Oryzias latipes: one gene and its partners. The protein of the gene in region 1 interacts with the protein of each later gene in a biochemical or structural test. Links are inferred from orthologs where the notes say so. Each region holds a gene or a part of one and is shown in the gene's direction. Other genes may lie near its edges.

Region 1 (3,644 bases):
CAAGAACAGAAACAAAACGTGGAAAATAACAGAATGGTGTGACTGTGACAGCTGACAGTGTCTGAAAGGAAACGCTTTCCTCATCTCAAACAATATCCATCTGCCTGGCTTTTACTCTGCCTGCCTCTAGATCAGCGACGGCCACTGAGCCGGACGGTCGCCACCGTGGAAAGCAGGACTTTGTCCGAAGAAGATCGCACGTGGAACCCCCAACCCTTGAGGGGTCACGCCTTTTCATTCTTTGAGATGCTCTTTGCAGCTTTGTTTGGCCCACAAGCGACTGGTTTCACCAGGGGCAGCTTCACAACACTGCAAAAATATGTCCCTAATGTCATGCACAGCTCAGAGAATAACATGACAAAATAAAAGCATACAGAGAACTGAGCAAATACATTTTTATTTAAAAAATTCAAACTTAGTGGGTTCAATTTGACAGTCAGGAAAGAATTTTGATTTACTCAAAATCACAAATGTATAAACTGATGTCAAAGTTTGTTATTTTGACAACATTTGTATTTTAGTCCACTGGGTCATCAGAGGGAGCCTGGGTCAGTCCAGCTTCAGAAACAAACAGCTCTGCAGTGTTCTGCTGTTATTTTCTTCCCATGATAAAGCTGGGAGCCTCCGCATCATCCTCCTTCTCAGCCTCATCCTCCTCCTCCTCTTCATCACTGCTGCTCGCCGTTTTCTCTGCTGTGTCCGATTTGTCTTGATCCCCCACTTTGGCTTTTTTCGCCATCAGCTTCTTCTGCTTCAGCTTCTCTCGCTTCTTCCGCCGCTTCTCCGTGCGTTCCTGCGCCGCCTTCCTGTTCTCCTCCAGCTTCTTTAGGTAGTCCAGGTCCTTCTGCTGCTTCTCCGACAGCTTGTCCAGGAAATCCTGTCTTTGGTACTCCCTGCGGCGCAAGTGGCGGTAAACGTGGAACTCCCCACTGCCCGCGCCGGCGCTCGAGCCCATCACGTCCCTGACGAACTCCGGCGGCGCGCGCGGGTTCCACTCCTTCGGCCTGTCCGGAATGGGAGCTGGTTTCTCGGGGTTCCGCATGAGCCGCTCAAGCCGTAAACGTTGCTCCTCTGCCGGGTTCTTGGGAATAATTAGAGGCTGAGCCTCTTTGGCTCCAGATTTCCCCGGCTTGTTATTTTTTTGTGTGTTCGCCGCCATCTTTCAAAGAATTTTCGTTTTCTTCCGCTTTGTAGCGACTTGCCCCGGAAGTACCCCCCTCCCTAGCTCTACAAATATCCTTTTTATTGATCACATTTTTTATTTTAAACGATATGACATTAATTTTTAAGCCTGAAAGTTTTATCTGTGCTTTAAAAATGTTTTTTTAAAGAGTTTTCCTTGCGTAACTGTCCGTCATTTTGACCTACGTCATTGATTGACGTATGGCTCCGCCAATGACAGAACGTGCCTCAACTTGTGAAGGCGGGGCTGTCCAATCAACTGCCGGAATCCAGCGGAACGACTTAGTAGTGAGTGGTGGCCGACTAGTTTCTGTCTCACCAGAGAGCTAGAGTACATTTGACGCTTTGACTTATCCAGTCAAAAATAAGTAATTAGCCATGAATAGTTTGTTGAAGTTGTCAGCCAGGTGCCTTCGGTCGGGTTCAGCGGTCTTTTTGTCGAGGCCCGCGGAAGGACGCGCGTGCCTGGCCTCGGCCCGGTTTCTGTGTGCGGCGGCGGATGTCCAGAAGACTCTGGGTGACATGGTGAAGAAGGACAAAGTGGTGGTTTTTATTAAAGGCACGCCGGCACAGCCAATGTGTGGCTTCAGTAATGCCGTGGTCCAGATTCTGCGCATGCACGGGGTGGACGACTACGCCGCTTACAACGTCCTGGAGGACCAGGAGCTCAGGGAAGGTCAGTGTTGCGCGGTAACCTGTCCGACACCCTGAAAAAAAGTTGCCAATTCTTTAAAAAACAAAAAAAATTCAAAAGTTCTTTTTTAGTGTGTACTTTATTCTTACTTTGTTGGTACTTGGTTAAATGGTTCTAAACATTGTCTATTCAAAACAACCTTTATTTGTATCCATCTGTTATCAGTGTCTTGCAGCAGGGTGTGGTGCTTCAAGACAAACTGTCACAGCTGGATATATATAAGCAGCAAAAAATACATTAAAACAAATCTATACCATCTCTAAAAGTATTGAAGTCTAGATTGCCATGCTGGTCAACAGTTGTCCACTCTCTCTGGATTCCTAAGTTTTCCCTCTGCTTTCAGGAATCAAAGTCTTCTCCAACTGGCCCACGATCCCTCAGGTCTACTTCCAGGGGGAGTTTGTGGGAGGCTGCGACATCTTGCTCCAGATGCATCAAAACGGAGATCTAGTTGATGAACTGAAGAAGCTGGGCATCCGCTCTGCCCTTCTGGATGCAGAGAAAGACTCCAAGTAAAAAAAAAGAAAAAATCTGTTTTAATGTAAGAAGTTGAGGATAGGCTTAATGGAAGAAATCCTCACCCACATTCAAATGATTACAGAAAGTTCGACTCAGTAGAAAGGCTGAATCACATGGTCTATCAAAATACAAACACAGAAAGAGTCCAGAGTGCTTGAATCATTGGTTAGTTGGGAGAAACCCATTTGTATTTGGATCCAAACACACTTTTTTTTCTTATTAACGTTCATCATGAACAAACCTGGCCCTCAATCTCCTGCATCAAAACAAAGGTCATGATTAAGCTGCCAGTTACATCACAGAATGTCGACACTGGAAACCTTCCAAATGCACTGCCTCCAGGGGGAAGAACTCCATCCCTTTCTGCAAGAAGCAACGCCTTTTTCGAAACCAACCGGACACAGTGGCTGCTTTGCTGCCTGTTGAGAAAAGCAGTTCATATCAGCTTCCTGTTACTAAAGGAAAAGTTTGTTTTTTTACAGTCATTTGTGTTCGTTTCCTCAAGCCCTGACTTTCCAAAGCTGCTGCAGTTGTATCATCACGGAAACATGTAGTACACTGTAAGATATTGTACATTTAAAGCCTATTATCACATGTATTTGGGATGCATGTAAATCTGCAAAAGTAAAACAGTTTGAAGACAAACTTTCCATTTGTGTGGGAACATTTTTCATTTGCATAAAGATTTGCATAAAAGACTAAAACTAGTTTAGCCTGGATGTCCTTATTTAGAAATAGAATTTTTAGTTTTCCTGATGACAAATCAAAGGACATTTCATTTGATGGGAGTTTGTTTACAAAATAAAAGCGTTATAGAAAAATGAATTCTGCAGAAAAACCTAACATTAAAGTTAGGCTTTCAATATTAAATAGGGTTCAGAATTGGACTCTGATCAATCAGTGAAAATGCTGTGTCATCATAGACCATTCCTTTGTCATTTCAGCTTGATGTATTTTGACATCGTCATCTTGGAGTATTTCCGTGCTATCGGGAAAGAAAAGAATCCATTGATGGAATAATCTGGTGATTCCGTTTTTTCAGGTCGTCACTGACTTCGTTCTTTGAGCTGAAACCGTTGCTACGTTCACACCGCATCAGCTCACCCCAGCACTCTGGAAGACGGTAAATCTGGACGCATCAGACCACATGATCTATCAATGCTCCAAAGTCCAGACTTGAAAAACGGAAACTTCTTTTTTTGTTAGCCTACTGATCTGCGGTTTTCTTGAGGCGACACAATAGTTCAGT
Region 2 (4,360 bases), on another chromosome or scaffold:
CTTTCAAAAGTTATAATAAATAAATAATGAGTTATTTAACATTAAGCAGTAGTTACATTTATTTTTCATTACATTTAGTTACATGTATAACTTATATCTGGCCCTTTGAGGACAACCACTATGCTGATGTGGCCCTCGGTGAAATGAGTTTGACACCCCTGCTCTAAATTGTCCATAGGTGTGAGTGTGACTGTGCACTGGTGTGTGATATGTGGCCCTCTGACAGACTGGTGACCTGTCCTGGATGTCTCCTGCCTTCGCCCGCAAGTGGCCAGGACAGGCTCTGGCAGCCCAGGGACCCCGAAAGGGAACAAACAGATTGGAATATGAATGAATGAATAATTTCCGTCAAACATAAATATCAGTGTGGTTCCCTTCTAAGGCATTTATTTTAAAATTGTTCAGCTGTTTCTTTTATAAGACAGTATTCGTTTAGCATATTTATTTTGTTTTCATCTGTTTTTTTACATTTATCCAATACAGGGCCAAGGCCAGATCCCTATCTGCCATCACCGATGTGTTGTAACTCAAAAGGGCTGTAGTGAAGAGTTGTCATGCTACACGGTCACAAGTTTGATTTGTTTGGTGAAGTGTTTTGTTTTGTTTGTTTGGATTGTACCAATAGTTTTTTTGCCTCTGGCTTCCAAATCAAAAATTCCGTAACTCATCAATCTGGCAGTTACTGTGCACCTGGAGGATTTTGTTTTTATAAAGTTTTCCTTTGTGTGACAGTCACATTGAAAATATGTAATATATTGTGGAAAAACTATATTCTCACTCACTCAGTCACTCAGTCACTCAGTCACTCACGAACGAACGAACGAACAAATGAACGAACAAATGAACGAAAATATGTGTTTAGAAGTTATTTTTCTTGAATGTCACAATGCTTCTTGGCCTAAATCTTGTACCAATAAAAATGGAAAACATTCATAGGGAAAGGTGTTGGGAGTGACTCACTACAAAAGTGACATGTTACAGTAACAGCTTTAAAAAATAGTTTGAAGTGTTGATAATGAATTTTGAGAAATGTTTTTCTAATTCCATGTTCAGTAACAGCACACTAAACACCCAAACGTAATTGTTAAAAGATGCAAGACGTGGGCATTAAAAGATGAAAATACTGTAAGTCATTTCATAAAGTATTTTTAAAAATTATTTAAACGTTAATTACAAAGACCAAAATTCCTGATTGGCCTTATAGACTCAATCAATTTATTTTCCTATTTAAAAAGCGTCATAGTCTTCAGTAATAATTTTTATTTATTTATTTATTTTTACAGAGAAATATATGTCTCTCCTTTTATTCTAGGCTGGATAAATGACCCAATAACTTGATTTAATTAAGCAACACATTTGGTTTTAGTCTTATCAAACCATCTGAGTTTCTATTTCTTTATCTAGTCACTGTTTTCTTTACATTTAGTCTTCCTATTTAAATATATAACAGCAACAATAAAAACTTTATTCTTTTAAGGTAACAAGTTTGTATGAATATTATTTTCAGTATAACTGGGGGGAAATCGATGAACGACAGTGCAGGGGCAGTACCCGGATGTTTGACGTCACATCTCGGCTTCAGAATCGTCTCTAGGACATGACTTTAGTGACCGAAGCTGTTTTTTGTGTGGCGTAACTAAAGGGTCACTCTATTCTAGCCATGCTGGCACGTTTCTGTAGCAGCAGGACAGTCTCTACTCTCCATGCTCTTTGCGGCAACCAAGTATAAACAGTTTTTATGGCCTTACAGAATCAGTCTGTAGCAACATGCTAACCGTGTTCCCATCGGCTAAGTCCCACTGACTGACGTTCTAACTCCTGTCTACGGTTCTGCAGGTTTCTCTCTACGGGCAGCTGCAAAGATGTCTGTCAACGCAAACAGACGGAGAGGTCCGCATCGCCAACATACTGAGGGAGAAGTTTCCATCCGCATCATCGCTCAAAGTTACGGATATATCAGGTAAACAAAAGTGATTGGCTGTTTTTAAAAGTTATTATAGGACAACAAAGTCTCCTGTCTCTCTTCACCCTTTAGGCAACAACGATTTGCAGATCTGTTTGGAAGTACCTGTCAATGTTTTTATTTCTTTTTAACATTATATATATATATTATATAACAAATATAATAGTTTTTAGTTTCAAATGGATGTTATGTCAGCAAGTGGAGCTCCGAACTAAAGCAAGTAGGCGTCTCCATTTATGCCTGTTCAAAATCCTGAAAAGGAGAGAGGAAAAAAAGAAGACATTTAAAATAATGGTTATTGACATTTGACATGTGATACGAAAAGTTTAATTCATTATTATTTTGCCCACAAATAAATGACACCTGAGTAAATATACTAAAATTTTGTCTTTTGTCGTACTTTTAAGGTAAAATGACCCAAACCCCATATTTCAGACATTCATGGATTAAAGTAAATCCTTCTCCGGTATTAACAGAATCAGAACAGCAGAAAGAAAGCAAAGCTAAGCACAAAGGATTAGAGAAGCAGTAAAGTTGAATTAATATTTTACATTAAAAACTGAAATCTGAGTATGACTAACCCACATTTTTGAAATTACCTTTAAAAGAAGATCAAAAGTGGATTTAACTTAGCAATATTGTATTTAGCAAGTAAAGGTCAATACAATATTAACCATATTTTTTAGACCCAGCTCTCTATTAACTATGCAATTTGTGATTGATTAATTGCTGTAACTCAGTCGTACCTTGTTTTTGTTTTTTGTTTTATCCTGTGATGTGCATAGGTGGTTGTGGGGCCATGTATGAAATCCACATAGAGTCCAGTGAATTTCAAGGAAAGAAAACTGTTCAGCAGCATCAGCTGGTCAACCAGGTAAAGCAAGAGAAAGAAAACACGCTAATATTCAGTTTCTATTCTCTTGTGTTTTTTTTAAACTGAACTGAAATGAAATGAAGGACCTCTAGAAGTTTTGACATTTTAACTAATTATGCTTTTTAACTCTCCAAAAATACAGCTTGCATCCTTTTTAAAGTTTTCTGCAACTAATGAAAATTTGGTTTTACTTTAATTTCTCCAAAAAAATATAACTTAGACCAGGGGTCAGCAACCGGCGGCTCCAGGGCCGCATGCAGCTCTTTCATGCCTGTGCTGCGGCTCTCTGTGGTTTTGTAAAATAACTATCATGTTCTGAGAATGTCGTGATGCCTTTAACACCGTTGGGTAGCGCGAGCAGGCAGGAGGAAGAGAGCAGCGTGAATGCACGCAGGGGGCGCGTCTGCAGCTATGAACGTGGACTAGAGTCTGTCATGAGAGGGAAAGGTTTTCTAAAAAGTCGTAATCATGTAGGGGGCACGTGAAGCGCCCCCCCCCCCCCCCCCCCCAGCCAATTTTTTCCTAGGCTAAAACCACCCATTTCCACGTGAAATTAATTAAATTTGCGTAAAGGCGCCCCTACTATCCTGTCAACTGTCTGCTATGATGACTGTATGTTGCGCTGTCTGTGTAGAACACGCTGGAGGGGGGGTTGCATGCGGGGGAAAGCAACTTGGAGCTGCAGAGGAGTGAACAGGTAGAGGGGCGGGTCTTAGATTCACCGCTTGTGATTCCAGACCCGCAACAAACTAACAGCTGCTTCCTAACAAAAAAATAGTTGTCATCTATAAAATTAATATACTTTATTGGGTTTACTGGATTTTAAAAAAATATAGAAAGGAGTCTGCATCAAAGGCTACACGTTCACAATGCAGGCTGAAACGACCCAATTCTGATTTAACTTTTGCCCCTATGCGACCAGTATCTGATCTTTTCATGACAGTCTGAACGACACAGATCCAATCTTTTCAAATGTGACCCAGGCCACTTGTGTATCCGACCCATACGTCATCAATACGCTACAAACGTCATGATTCTGCGTTGAAGTAGGCAGGAGCGAGAACATAAACATCAACCATGGCGGACGATGCTGCTGAGACCAGTCAGTGGAAAGGAAGCAAGGTCGCCAATTTGATTAATATTTGGGGTGACAGCTCTATTCAGGCCAAAGTCAAGGGCTCTTATCGCAACCGGTTGTTTTTTGAAAAAGTTTCCAGCGAAATGGCCGAGCGTGCTGTTGAGCCTTTCCCGCGATGACTTTTTTCCCCTTTTCCGACCGTGGCCAGAAGCGCGGGGGACCGAAGGCGGATCCTCCTTCAGGGTTCACTTCCCCGATTGGACCCTCAGATCATCCAGAGCGGGTTAATAAAGAGTCAATAGCGGTTCTGCTGGGGGAAGCCTTCTTTTATTACCGTTCTGCTTCCTCCGTAACACACATGAATGCGTGCCCCCAACACACTTCCGCTGCCCCCCCCCCCTCACTCCCTCCTGCACTGCACGCGCTCTCTCCTCTCTCTTACACA
Region 3 (4,001 bases), on another chromosome or scaffold:
CTTAACAATTCACCCTCCACTCAGCGAGGAGAACGTCACAACGCCGTTCCACGGCTGGGGCATTAAATATCAAGACAATCTGCTCTCTAACATTACCAAGAAAAAAACTCATTACGGTTTGTTGGTGCTGCTGATCAGTTAGAGGGCCCACAAATTAAATTTCGCTTAGGGCCCCCGGAAGACCAGGGCCGGCCCTGCATTCAGGTCTTTTCTTAGGGGGGCTGGAATGGGTCAAAAACAACAAACAAAACCGGATCTTTGTTGGGGAAACAAACATCACTGAATCAAAATGAAAACATCCAAGAAGTAGCCTATAATTTCTGTTAAGATTAGATATAAATGCCCTATTCTATTCTAAATTCAAGTATAACATTTTTTATTTTTTCAGTAATTACTAAAACTGCTAGTTGCAAAACCAATAAGCCTTTTGCAGCCTTTTTTAAACCACTCATTGTACTGACTGCGTACCAGAAGGCAGCCAAGAGAAATGAATTCAAAGATAAGAAACTTTCCACAGAACACAAACAGAAAAAGTTCAAGCAAACAGGAAATTAACTACGGTAGTCATGTAAAAAACAACACGAAATCTAAGATAAAACAAAAAAAGTATTATTTTGTTGTAGTAAAAAAATTACTAAAATTGTTTTTGTTTTGTTACACAAAAGATCATCCACTGCCAACAGAAATAATAGACTTCTTTTAATAATATTTTCTTATTTATGAGCTAAGAAGAATTATGAATTCTGAGGCTCATAACTTGTTTTTCTGCAGAACCTCACTGGAAATATGTTTGATGCTAATAGTTATGATTTGGTGAAAGAAATCAAAACATTTTAGCATCTAATTGGGATTTCCTGTGGGACAGACAGACAAAATGTGAATCCCTGACAAACTGGACATCATAGTGATGGACAAGAAGGAGAAGAAGGTTGTGGTTATAGATGTCAAAACCCCGACAACTGGGGCTGTGATGGGGTAACCCAGTCCAGAAGTGTGCAGGTCTATGGGCCTTTAAGATCAGTTTATTTTACAGATGTGAAAGTAACAAACTCGTTTACATTGGATTGCCTCAACATGCGTCAAAAAAGATGATCTGAAGTCTGTCATCCTTCCCTGGTGTAAGCTGCTTAAATAGGACTCTCACATTAATCATGTACATAGAAAACCACGCAACCATATACCTGAATCTGTTACAGTCGAAACAAACATTTAACACATTTTATTCTCCATAAAATTCAATATAATTTTGTTAGTTTGTAAGAAAAAATTAAATATTTGAAATGCCTAACGTAAACAGGAAAACTCGGTGTCGGCCTCTTGGTATGCTGCAGTTCCACCCCTATTCGACAGATGGCGGTAGTCGGCAGAAAGGTTATCGGTACGCTAACCATCAATAAAAGAAGAAGGCTGTAGAGGTAAATAACTCCACGATTTGTAATAAAATTACATTTTAAAATGATCAGATGTCATCTACGGTTATGTTTATAATAGAATTGCGTTTAAAGTTTGAGGAGTAAAGAAGTTGTTTTCTGTTTTGACACCATTACGTAACGTAGGGTTTGTTTTAAATTAAGCTAGCAGCTCATGCTAACAGACGACCGGAGTCTTCGTCTAAAGGTAATTCGCTTTTCTTTACCGGTTTAAATGCAACTATTGTTGCGCTTTTGATGTATATACGTTCATAATTCTCTAAAATAACAGAGTTTAAGGCTCCAGTGCCCCCAAAATGACCTCACCTTAGAAAAACTGGCGCCCTCGTGTTTTGTAGTTATTGTCACTATTTTACATCGATGTTTTTGATAAAACTCACCCGCGATCGATGCTTTAAACGATTATATTTGTTTTTTAAACAACAAAAAGGTTTTAAATTTTGAAACTGAAACATCCAGGAAAGCGGAAAATAAAAACAAGACTGCAGATCATTTTTCAGCTTAGTCGAATAACCATAATAACTGTTAGTGTTTACATCTCTGAGATAAAAAAAAAATGTATAGTAAATATAAACATTTCTCAGTGTGTGGTTAAGGAAGATAAGATAGAAAGACAGACTTAATTTTAAGTTTTAAGTTAAATTCTAAGTTAATAGTTTTAAAGTTATCTGTTTTGTTTTACAAAGTTTTGCTCCAAATTCCAGTTTGTTTCACCTTTTTTCTGTTTTGTCTTTGCGTTTTATTTCCTTCCTTTATTTTAAGAAAACTTTGAAACTAAACTTTTACCAAATCTTTATATCTAAACTAAGCAAATATTATTTCTTAAATAAAACACAGCTTGAGCTGAAAAATTAAATCAGCAGATTAGTTTTCTTCTATATGAAATGAATTTGGCTTTTAAGAAAAGTTTTTCTTCATAAAACAATATTTTTTTTAACATATATTTTTAGATAAGTACTCCTTTTATTAAGTAAATACTTTTGAAGAAAAATAGTAATTATAATTGATCAAACTTATTCTCCAGCCATGTTTACTATTCTTTATTTCTCTTCTAAAACTCCTTTTCTTTTGAACTGTTTTTTTTTGTGTAAAAATATTTAAATAAATAACCAATTATATATATATTTAAATCACAGTTCATCTACCTGATTTAGACAAATTTGATCATTTTTTCTTTCTTTCTTTTTTTAAAATAAAAGCTACATTGATGATTTAAAGTTGGTTAAAGGTATTTGCCTCCTGATCTCATTTACCATCGTGGCCTGACGGAGCTCTGCTGTAACTCCTCCACCAGGTGGTGTCCCGCCCCGATGCTCCCCTGTGTCCTGCGTTCCGCCCGGCCCGCCTCAGTCCGCCTCTCCGCAGCCCGGCCTTTGGCTCACGTCAGGCCGCACATGGACCCTGACCCCAGCCGCCCTGTGGAGCGGGCCATCCGGACCAAACTGACCGAGGCCCTCAAACCCGACCACTTGGAGATCCACAACGAAAGCCACATGCACGCCGTTCCTCCGGGATCCGAATCCCATTTCCGCGTTCTGGTGGTCAGCTCTCAGTTCCAGGGCCTGCCTCTGATTCAGCGCCACCGCCTGGTTAACGATGCCCTGAAGGAGGAGCTCAGCAGCCGCGTGCACGCTCTGGCCATCCAGGCAAAGACTCCTGAGCAGTGGGAGAGCAGCCCCGCCCTGGCAAAGAGTCCGGCATGCATGGGGGGTTCGAGGGGCGACCACACAGTGGAGGAGAAGCTGAAGGCCGGCCGAGAGTGACAGTTCATGTAGCGATGAGTGGGATGCAGTGTGTGTGTCACCAACAAGGACTGTGAATGTAAATAAAAGATGACATTATAACAAATTCAAAAGCTGTTTTGAAAAACTTTATTGATCATTTGTATCAATGTAACGGAACTTAATTTCTATTAAAAACAAAAAATCGTAAAAATGCTTTCAATTATTAAAAAAAAAAAAAACTACATTTTTCCAACACAGGAAAATGTTGAGAATGGTGAGTTCATCATTTCCTTCCAACCATCCATTTTTTATATCCATTTTGGGGTCATGGGGTGTCAGTCTGTCACAGGGCACACAACTACTCCCACTCACACCTTGGAGTAACCAATTACTTGACCTATGAAACACGCTTCTGGACGGTGAGGGGAAGCAAAGTTCCTGGAGAAATGTCCCGCATGCATGGGGAGAAGATGCAAACTCCACACACAAAGAAGGTCCCAGGATTCTAACCAGATTTTCAGTTTTTAGTACTTTATTCTTGTTTGTTCGGTTTGGATCGCTGTTTTCACAAAAGTTGGACTATTTGTTAGCAATATCTATGCTGATCGTCACGACGGGTCAAATAAAACATCAGTTCAGAGAAAACGTTCACCTCTAACCACTTGTTTTTGTTCAGATGAAGAAGCTAAAGTTTGTTTTAAAGAAGCCAGCACAGTGATACAGAACATTTCAGCTATGTGACCAGAACTTCTTTTAAATAAATAAAATAAATTTATACTGTATTCATCCCTCAATGGGGAAATTCTTCTCCGCATTTGACCCATCCCCTGGGGGAGCGGTGAGCTGC

The links.
Region 2: the proteins of glrx5 (region 1) and bola3 form a complex in vitro, tested with the Homo sapiens proteins (4 studies listed by BioGRID and IntAct, with this or other methods). The link is inferred for Oryzias latipes from reciprocal best matches to the Homo sapiens genes GLRX5 and BOLA3.
Region 3: the proteins of glrx5 (region 1) and bola1 form a complex in vitro, tested with the Homo sapiens proteins (2 studies listed by BioGRID). The link is inferred for Oryzias latipes from reciprocal best matches to the Homo sapiens genes GLRX5 and BOLA1.

The regions. Positions count from the first base shown.
Region 1 is NC_019882.2:12,959,682-12,963,325, forward strand, and holds glrx5 (glutaredoxin-related protein 5, mitochondrial), read left to right. Parts: upstream 1-1,424; 5' UTR 1,425-1,560; coding exon 1,561-1,858; intron 1,859-1,936; exon of another isoform or gene 1,937-2,219; coding exon 2,220-2,392; 3' UTR 2,393-3,045; downstream 3,046-3,644. Other genes in the region: prkrip1 (PRKR-interacting protein 1), read right to left, coding at 593-1,159.
Region 2 is NC_019861.2:20,370,059-20,374,418, reverse strand, and holds the start of bola3 (bolA-like protein 3), read left to right. Parts: upstream 1-1,546; 5' UTR 1,547-1,660; coding exon 1,661-1,723; intron 1,724-1,836; coding exon 1,837-1,960; intron 1,961-2,748; coding exon 2,749-2,837; intron 2,838-4,360. UniProt on the Homo sapiens protein: Acts as a mitochondrial iron-sulfur (Fe-S) cluster assembly factor that facilitates (Fe-S) cluster insertion into a subset of mitochondrial proteins. Probably acts together with NFU1.
Region 3 is NC_019874.2:29,251,786-29,255,786, forward strand, and holds bola1 (bolA-like protein 1), read left to right. Parts: upstream 1-1,312; 5' UTR 1,313-1,415; exon of another isoform or gene 1,416-1,617; intron 1,618-2,724; 5' UTR 2,725-2,740; coding exon 2,741-3,193; 3' UTR 3,194-3,365; downstream 3,366-4,001. UniProt on the Homo sapiens protein: Acts as a mitochondrial iron-sulfur (Fe-S) cluster assembly factor that facilitates (Fe-S) cluster insertion into a subset of mitochondrial proteins. Probably acts together with the monothiol glutaredoxin GLRX5. May protect cells against oxidative stress.